Schizosaccharomyces pombe: one gene and its partner. The protein of the gene in region 1 purifies or fractionates together with the protein of each later gene. This does not show direct contact. Each region holds a gene or a part of one and is shown in the gene's direction. Other genes may lie near its edges.

What was found.
Region 2: the proteins of sws1 (region 1) and rdl1 purify together in Schizosaccharomyces pombe (affinity purification with western blotting, with the first as the bait; one study listed by BioGRID). This does not show direct contact.

The regions. Positions count from the first base shown.
Region 1 is NC_003423.3:1,492,876-1,496,840, forward strand, and holds sws1 (SWIM domain-containing Srs2-interacting protein 1), read left to right. Parts: upstream 1-1,954; 5' UTR 1,955-2,080; exon of another isoform or gene 2,081-2,142; 5' UTR 2,143-2,276; coding exon 2,277-2,906; 3' UTR 2,907-3,136; downstream 3,137-3,965. Other genes in the region: random septum position protein, DNAJ domain protein Rsp1, read right to left, coding at 194-1,678; aminophospholipid translocase regulatory protein Ivn1, read right to left, coding at 3,221-3,965.
Region 2 is NC_003424.3:2,007,596-2,011,402, reverse strand, and holds rdl1 (RAD51D-like protein 1), read left to right. Parts: upstream 1-2,255; 5' UTR 2,256-2,561; coding exon 2,562-3,254; 3' UTR 3,255-3,307; downstream 3,308-3,807. Other genes in the region: RNA-binding protein involved in heterochromatin assembly Dri1, read left to right, coding at 1-1,498; exosome RNA helicase subunit Mtl1, read right to left, coding at 3,473-3,807. UniProt on the Schizosaccharomyces pombe protein: Involved in homologous recombination where it functions at an early stage of recombination in a pre-recombinogenic complex with rlp1 and sws1. Also has a role at a later stage of recombination in association with the rhp55-rhp57 complex.

The DNA.
Region 1 (3,965 bases):
CCCTGAGTAAGCTATTAAACACATGCCCTTTTTACAAAGTCGTTGGTTCTGGTGTATGCTTGAAGTATGGGTAAGTGAACTGGGTAAAAAATAATATTAATAAATTGAATGTTAAACGTTATGAAGAAGAAATAAAATTTTCAAATAAAAATTTTAATACTAAATTTAATACTTAATGAGGAAATAATAATCATTATATACCAAAAGATGCGAAAAGGCTTTCCTTTAAAGATTGTAGTTCTTCCAAAGCTCTCAAATGCATTTGTTCATATGCATAAAATAACTGTATAGCTTGTGACCCTTCCTTCCAATTATCAATTAATCGTGATTGTCCAGGAGTATTCATTAAGTCGAGTTGGAAGCATTTATTTTTGAAGATTTGCCATTGAAATGCATACTGTGTATAAATGATAGAATAAGACGACCAGCGTCTCTGATACATTTCAAAGGAATTTAGATAGCTATCTACAGAGGCATTAGTCAGGTTTCTCGGTGCCTCTGGAGGGATGGGTGCCTGGATAGTTGGAACGGATGGAGGTTTGGGCAGCACTTTAGCAACTTCATCATCATCCCCTTCAATGGCAAGGGATCTCAGTATCGACTGAAGCTGGTCATCATACTCAGTCGAGTTAGATGTTGAATCGTTCTCTGCGGACAAGTCATTTAGCTGAGACCGAGTTTGATTTCGAGAAAGAGAAGAAGATTTAGAACGACTTAAGGGCTTAGGGGGTAAAGGTTTAGAAGTGGGATGTCTAAATGGAATTTCAGGTTTTGATGGTGAATTATTATCAGAATGCTCAAGTTTTATTTCAGGTGTGATATCAGTTTGATAAACGGATGGGTGCTCTGGAGTGTTTGGAGAAGTAAAAATAATAGATTCTTCAGATGTATCTTTAAAACGTTCATTATTTGATGAAGAAGAACTTCTTGGAGAGGATTTTGTTATTGAAGAATTTTCAACACCATTGGAATTCAAACCATTGGATATCTCAGACAACGGAGTATAGGTGCGTCGCTTTTCACGAAGCGATTCTAAATACAACTTGGCATTAAATTTATTATAGTTAGGGCCTTTAAAACGAGGACTACTAGAAATTGGATCCACCACGTTTTCAGTAGCATATCCATTCTTCTTAAAAATTGGAGACGTTTTTGGATGCAAATAACCAGATGATATGTAGCTTTTTGAGGTAGATACCTCTTTAAAGCTATTGTTCTTTTCCATTTTTCCGGAAGCGGAAAAAGATCGATGAAGTGAGAAGTTTGTGATATTGTTATCTTTCGAATCTACGTTTTCCCGGTCTTGTTTCTTCTTTTTTTCAGCAAATTTGGTAGCCATTGTGACACTAACCTTGGATGCAACTTTCGTGGAAATATCATTCTTTGGTCCACTTTTTTTTGGACGGAATCGCAGCACCCCATCAGGGCGACCGGCTTCTAGTAATCTTCTTTGATCAAATAACTCTCGAAGCTTTGGATCCTTTAAAACTTCATGAGCTTTTTGTATCAACTGAAACTGTGGAAGAACCTCGGCTTCCCGACCGGGGTTACGATCGGGATGGTATCGTAAAACAAGCTTTAAATATTGCTGTCGAATTTCGACATAACTACTGGTACTTTCCGCTCCAAGGATGGTGTAATAATCCACAAATTCATCATGAAACGCCGTCCTCGCCATTCACGAGCCTTTAAAATATGCGACACCTTTCTTAAAAAGATAAAAAAGTTTGAAATTGGTTTATAAAACTTTTAAATTTCACCCAAGTAATGAAACCTTTGTAACTAACCGATTTTTGAGGTTTTCCTGAAACTGCTCGAAATAGTGTTTTCGACTTAAATTAACTTGTAAAACGTTCGTTCCTTTTTCTTTATTTTCGCAAATATTAGTTAAGAAAAATAAAACGAGTTAAAAATTTTAACGATTAAACTCTACTTTGTATCTTCTATACTTGACTAGAGCAAACAAAGACACCCCTCGAATTTGTGATTTTTACAACTTCATTAGTTTATAGCTTTGCTACGTGTTTTCCGCTTATTAGAACAAGCGAAAGCAAAGCAGATTTTTGCTGTTTTGCTTTTGGTAAGAGTTGATGAACAAAGAAGTAGTGATACTTTGAAACGAATTTGCTAATCTTTTTGAAGAGCCTATTCAATCATCCAAACTTGTCAGCATAAGTCAATAAATTAGATTATTATCTTCATTGTCATCAATTGTGTTTTCTGGATGTTGTTTGAGCTTTATGTTTTGGGGCATTGCTGAGTCTTAATAAACTTCAATGCAGCAGGGTCATTTTACTTCGAATAGTTACCACAGTAAAACTTTAAATAGTTCATCTCTACCTGTATCTTCAAAATTTTCTCACACTAATGATCCTGATGTTGAAGGCGTTGACAATGATAGTTTCTCCAAGGCATTGTGTAACAAAGATTTAGATCCTTCTTCCACTATTCGTTCAGTTATAAGCTCTTTATTAGATTCTTTACAAGATAAAGCGCTCCAACAGTCACCCAACACCTCTTTGTCAAAATTACTGTTGGAAGACCAGGATTTTGGAAGCTTGTGGTTGTCATTAAGTTTTATATTTTGTAACTACTGGCAACCTGCTATGCTGATTTTGGATTCTAAAAGCATTCATCCACTACCATTAACCGATGGTGAAGTTTTACATCGATGGGAATGTGAAGTGGATTCGAATAATAAAACTACGATTGATTTGAAGTATTGGTATTGTTCATGCTCTCAATTCTCTTACAATGCTTTTAATAGCTCGAGATCTTTTGACGAGCCAATGCCCAAAAATGAGCAAGAAACCTGGGGTGGAAGATGTCTTTCCCACCACCCTACGATTTGTTCCCATATTTTAGCTGCTTCGATTTTACGTGCTTGCCATAATCTGGTAATTTAAAAAACGTTAACCCAATTCGTTTAATTGTGACTTGACTATGATATTTAACAGTAAGGGCCGTTTAAATTGCTTTCTCAATGTAAAAGAAGAAAATACGATATGATATTCATACAACGTGATTAAAAAAAAATGTCTTATTCAGATTATGTTATGCTTTAGTTATGATGCAAGTTCATGAACCCTGAACTGGTATAAAAAAGAGAATATTGTAAGTGGAAGACGAAGCTAGCATAAGTGATTAAATGGAAAGTAAATTCCAAAATGTTCATGAAGTAGTATATGTAAAAATAAATGGTAAAGATACTCAAATTCGTTTATGAGCTTTTTCCTCTATTCCAAGATAGATATCTTGGATCGCCTACGCGTCTAGGTTTGATCAAGCAAGCAATACTAAGGATTACACCGCTCGCGGCGCAGAGCCCACCGATAACAAAATAAAGAATTCCTAAAAAGTAGTTCTTTCCTCCAATAACGGATGTTGTTGAAAACATAATAGTTTTCGTTCCTTTATATTCTGTGACAGGAAAGTTATAAGTGATATTCATTTCATAAATGCCAGGTTGAAGTGCAGTAGTAACGTTTCGAAGAGCAAGTTTGCTGAATGTTGGAAGAGCAGCAGCTCTCATCCAAATTTGAAAGGCATCCCATGTAGAAACATCGGGAATATTGTCGTCAGTATATCCATTGGGAAACATTTTTGCCCAATTTGGAGGTGGAACAATTTGGGAAGCATTGTACTTAGTTTTTTTGTATCTTTCTCTATCTTCCGGCCACGCAGTACCATTTGTAGTCATATTGTAAAGTCCAAGGGAATTTGAGCTATCAAAGGATTCGTATCGTAGAAGAGAAGAATAGCTATCGTTGAAAAGCGAGTTTGCGATAATGCCACAGGGGTAATAAGGTTTCCCTTCCTCATTTGCTTCTAACGGCTTGCAGAAACCATAGCTCTTCAGTTGTGCAACAGTTCGTGCTTCGCCTAGCAACTGAAACATATCGGCGCTAACAGTATATCGACGATGGTTTTGATAAAAATTTTTGAGACGATAAAAAGCAAACACG
Region 2 (3,807 bases), on another chromosome or scaffold:
TATGAATGGAAGAGAGCTTCGTGTATTATTGCCAAAAGAAGCACGGGATCAGGGAATTACGCTACCTTCCTACATGCGCCATCCTCGCTTGTTTGATTTATCAAGCGAATACGCCAAGTGGCAGATTCGCATGGGTGCAGTACCACCATACACAATAACGCTTTCTCATATTTTTGGTAAATTAGATGTCGACTCTTTACCACCTATTACAGAGTCAAAAGCAATTGAATTATCACCTTCAGATGCTCCTTACATAACCAAAGGTCTTACTCAATGCTGGCGCCTTGCAAATGCTACCACCTTATTGCTTCGTAAAGCAGAGAAAGATTCTCGAGGTCATTCTCTTCCTTCGGTGCTTACACAACCCATTAACTGTCAAGCAGACGCACGAAGCTTTTATGCAGAACGGTCAAAAATTGTACACGTTGCAGGTTTGACCAACGATGTAACACAGCTCGAGTTGGAAAGTTGGTTTACTAATCATGGGGTTCATCCCGTAGCTTTATGGACTTTAAAGACTCCCGAACCTTACAAATCTACGGGTACAGGTTTTGTGCTATTTGCTAGTCATGAAGATGCTGCCGATGCTCTTGCCTTTAATGGATATTGCTTAGGAGATCGGATGCTGGAAATTATTCCCAGTAGTACAAAGGTTTTAGATAAAGCTTCAGACATTCTAATTCCTTTTCCTTCTAGTAAGAATCGCCCACGCCCTGGGGATTGGAATTGCCCAATGTGCGGTTTCAGCAATTTTCAACGTCGAACGTCTTGTTTCCGATGCTCATTTCCTGGTCCTACTCATGTTTCAGCTGCTACTGGTAGCAATACTTTTTCACCTGATTTCCCTTATGGAAATTCATACGGCAACGGCTCCTCTCACTTTATTGCCAACTATGGTGGATCTGTCCATCATTCTAACGAAAATACCATGCAAAGTGATCTTCAGCATCAGAATGGCAATAATGCTGTAAATCATCATCATTCTTCACGCTCATTCGGTGGTAATGTCCCTTTTCGTGCTGGTGATTGGAAATGTGGCTCTGAGGGTTGTGGATATCACAATTTCGCAAAAAATGTTTGCTGCTTACGCTGTGGGGCTAGCCGTGCTACAGCTGCAGTCGTAGCAGATCATGCATCTGGGCCGGTGAATGGTTCGTATAGTCATAATTCATATTCTCACATCCCCCCTGTTATGAGTACAAGTCCTCCTAATCATTCGGTGTATCCTTACTCACAACTTTCTATAAATTCAGTAACGGCTAATCATGGTCAAAATTTTGGGGGACAAAATGGTGGTAATGTATCTAGGTTCGATGATCATGGACGCTTTAAAGAAGTATCACGTCCTTCCGTTACTACTGATCAAGGCGATTGGTTATGTGAGTGTGGATTTACTAATTTTCGTCGCCGCAGTAATTGTCTCCGTTGCAATGCTCCGCATTACTCTAATATGCAGATTCCTGCATCCTTGCCTTCGGATTTCAATGCTTACGTGTAAAGTTGGACAATTATATTTAATGGATAGGTCCCGTAGTACAAAGGATATTTGGTAAACACTATAGCTAAAAATGCAAGTGATTAGTGCGATAAAAATAATCACTTATGTCTTGAAGGAGCAAATTTGATGAAACAATTGTTATTATTTAAAGGCAGCATTTTGAAAAGCAACTCTATTGGAACAAAAATTTAAAAGTTGTATTGGGTTTTCTTATGAAGGTTTTGCATAAACATTGAATTACAGGTGTGGTCAAAATTAGTTCATAATTTTCTTTGGTGGGTTTTTTTCTTCTATTTAGTGCTATTTAATTTTTGACCTTGAAGAAATTTTCGGGGAAAAAACAGCAGTCAATCGTATAGAGCTCTCCCATATTTGGGATTTGGGGATTCATTTGTTTTGGAGTGTCACACTCATTGAACGTTTGAAAAAATGGTTGTTTACCTCTTACAGTTGTCAGTGCTGTTCAAATTTATAGGGTTCTTCGGTAAATAATGTATTGTTAATATTCCTTTTTTTTATTATATAATTTATAAAAATTTTGTAACGATAATGATTAAATCAATCGATACATGAGGTTACTTGTAATACATGGCATTATTAGAGAGAATTAAATTCGCATATGTAGCATTTAAAAACAGTTAGTTGATGCTTTTCTATTTTTTCTTTTTATTCTTAAAGGGTTATTCTCAATATATACAAATCCACACCAGTGTGGCTATATACTGTACTCGAATGTTGACGACCTTTCTGCTTCTTTAATCCATACCCTAATTAAATATAATCCATGTAGATAGTTCAACAAAAAACATGAGATAAGATTCAACACACACTCATGATTAGTTAAATACTTGTTGAACATTCCGGAAATTTTTGACGATTGTACGTATCTTTTCCTTCAACGCATTTGGGTGTTTATCTCTTTTAGAATGCCATTAGCATAACCAGGGGATGATTGCAAAAATCAATTTCATTGATCATCAATATCGTTGGAAAAAACAATTCTATCGAAAGTTTAAAGCATACCAAGCAAATTCTTAAAGCAGCTTATATATTTTCTGACATTATGAATCAGGTTACTCAATTTAGTGGAAATTCTGCAAACTTGATGCTTTACTGGATTCTAAAAAGTTATTACTCTAGGTTTGATAGAATTATGTGGATTGATACTTTAGGTACTTTCAATCCGGCTGCACTCCCTCTTCCATGTCTTGAAAAAACTATGTTGGTTAGATCATTCGATGCTCAGGGATTGAAGGATGCAGTTGATGAGTTGGAAAGCAATCTCAAAAGCTCCGAAGATCAAGCATATGCATTGTGTATAGATTCCTTTTCTAATCCCATTGGTTTGTTAATGGCTCAGGGCAATATATCTTTTGCACATGCATTCATGATGACTTTAGGAAGAAAATGCCGAATCCTTACCAGAAAATTCAGATTAGCAGTATACTTATCTACTTCTCTTGTGTACATAAAGCAACTCCACCTTTCCAAACCAGCGCTGGGAAACAGCTGGCCATTTTGTCTTGACCATTCATATATTCTAGAAGATCAACAGCATAATAAATGTTTAGTACATTGCAACCAAAGTCGTAAAGATTTACTAGGTTGCTCACAACTTTTTTTACTCCTTAAAGGTTCGTTTACTCACGAATATTTGACTATTGATTTCTACAATGGTACACCTGTCTCTGTTTCATCTAAATTGCATGTATCACCAAGTCTGTATCACTCATCTACGCTCAACAGTCCATCATGAGTATACTACCCCAAAATATCAAAGTTTAAAAAATATGTAGATGACTTATTAAGGATTTATTTAATGATATTGTTTTTTATACATTCAATAAAAATCTGTAGATAACACTTCTAAATAAAGAATTAAAACTAACATATATAAAAAGAATATTGCACAAAATCGAAATCATATTTGATAGGCCAAACGATCATTGTCAATATCAAACTTTCGCTACAAATTTAGAGGTATAGAGAGGCCGAAAATATGATATCACGATGCAACTTTTGTTCAGTCAACACACTCTTCTCTTTCAATTCATTATTGCCTAATACAATAGCAGCATGTTCAAGTTGTTTTAACAACTCATCTAATCTCCTGAACGTTCGAACAATTGAACCTTCATAAAGCTTGGAGACAATGCATATTTCTTGAAACGAGGCTCCATTGATCCATAAAGATACAGGCTCCATAATGTCAGGCTTAAACTGATGGAGGTAGTCGCTTTCGTTAAATTGAAGCTTACTTTCTAACGAAACGGTTGCTATGCGCTTTGCTGCTTCAATAATCGTTAGAT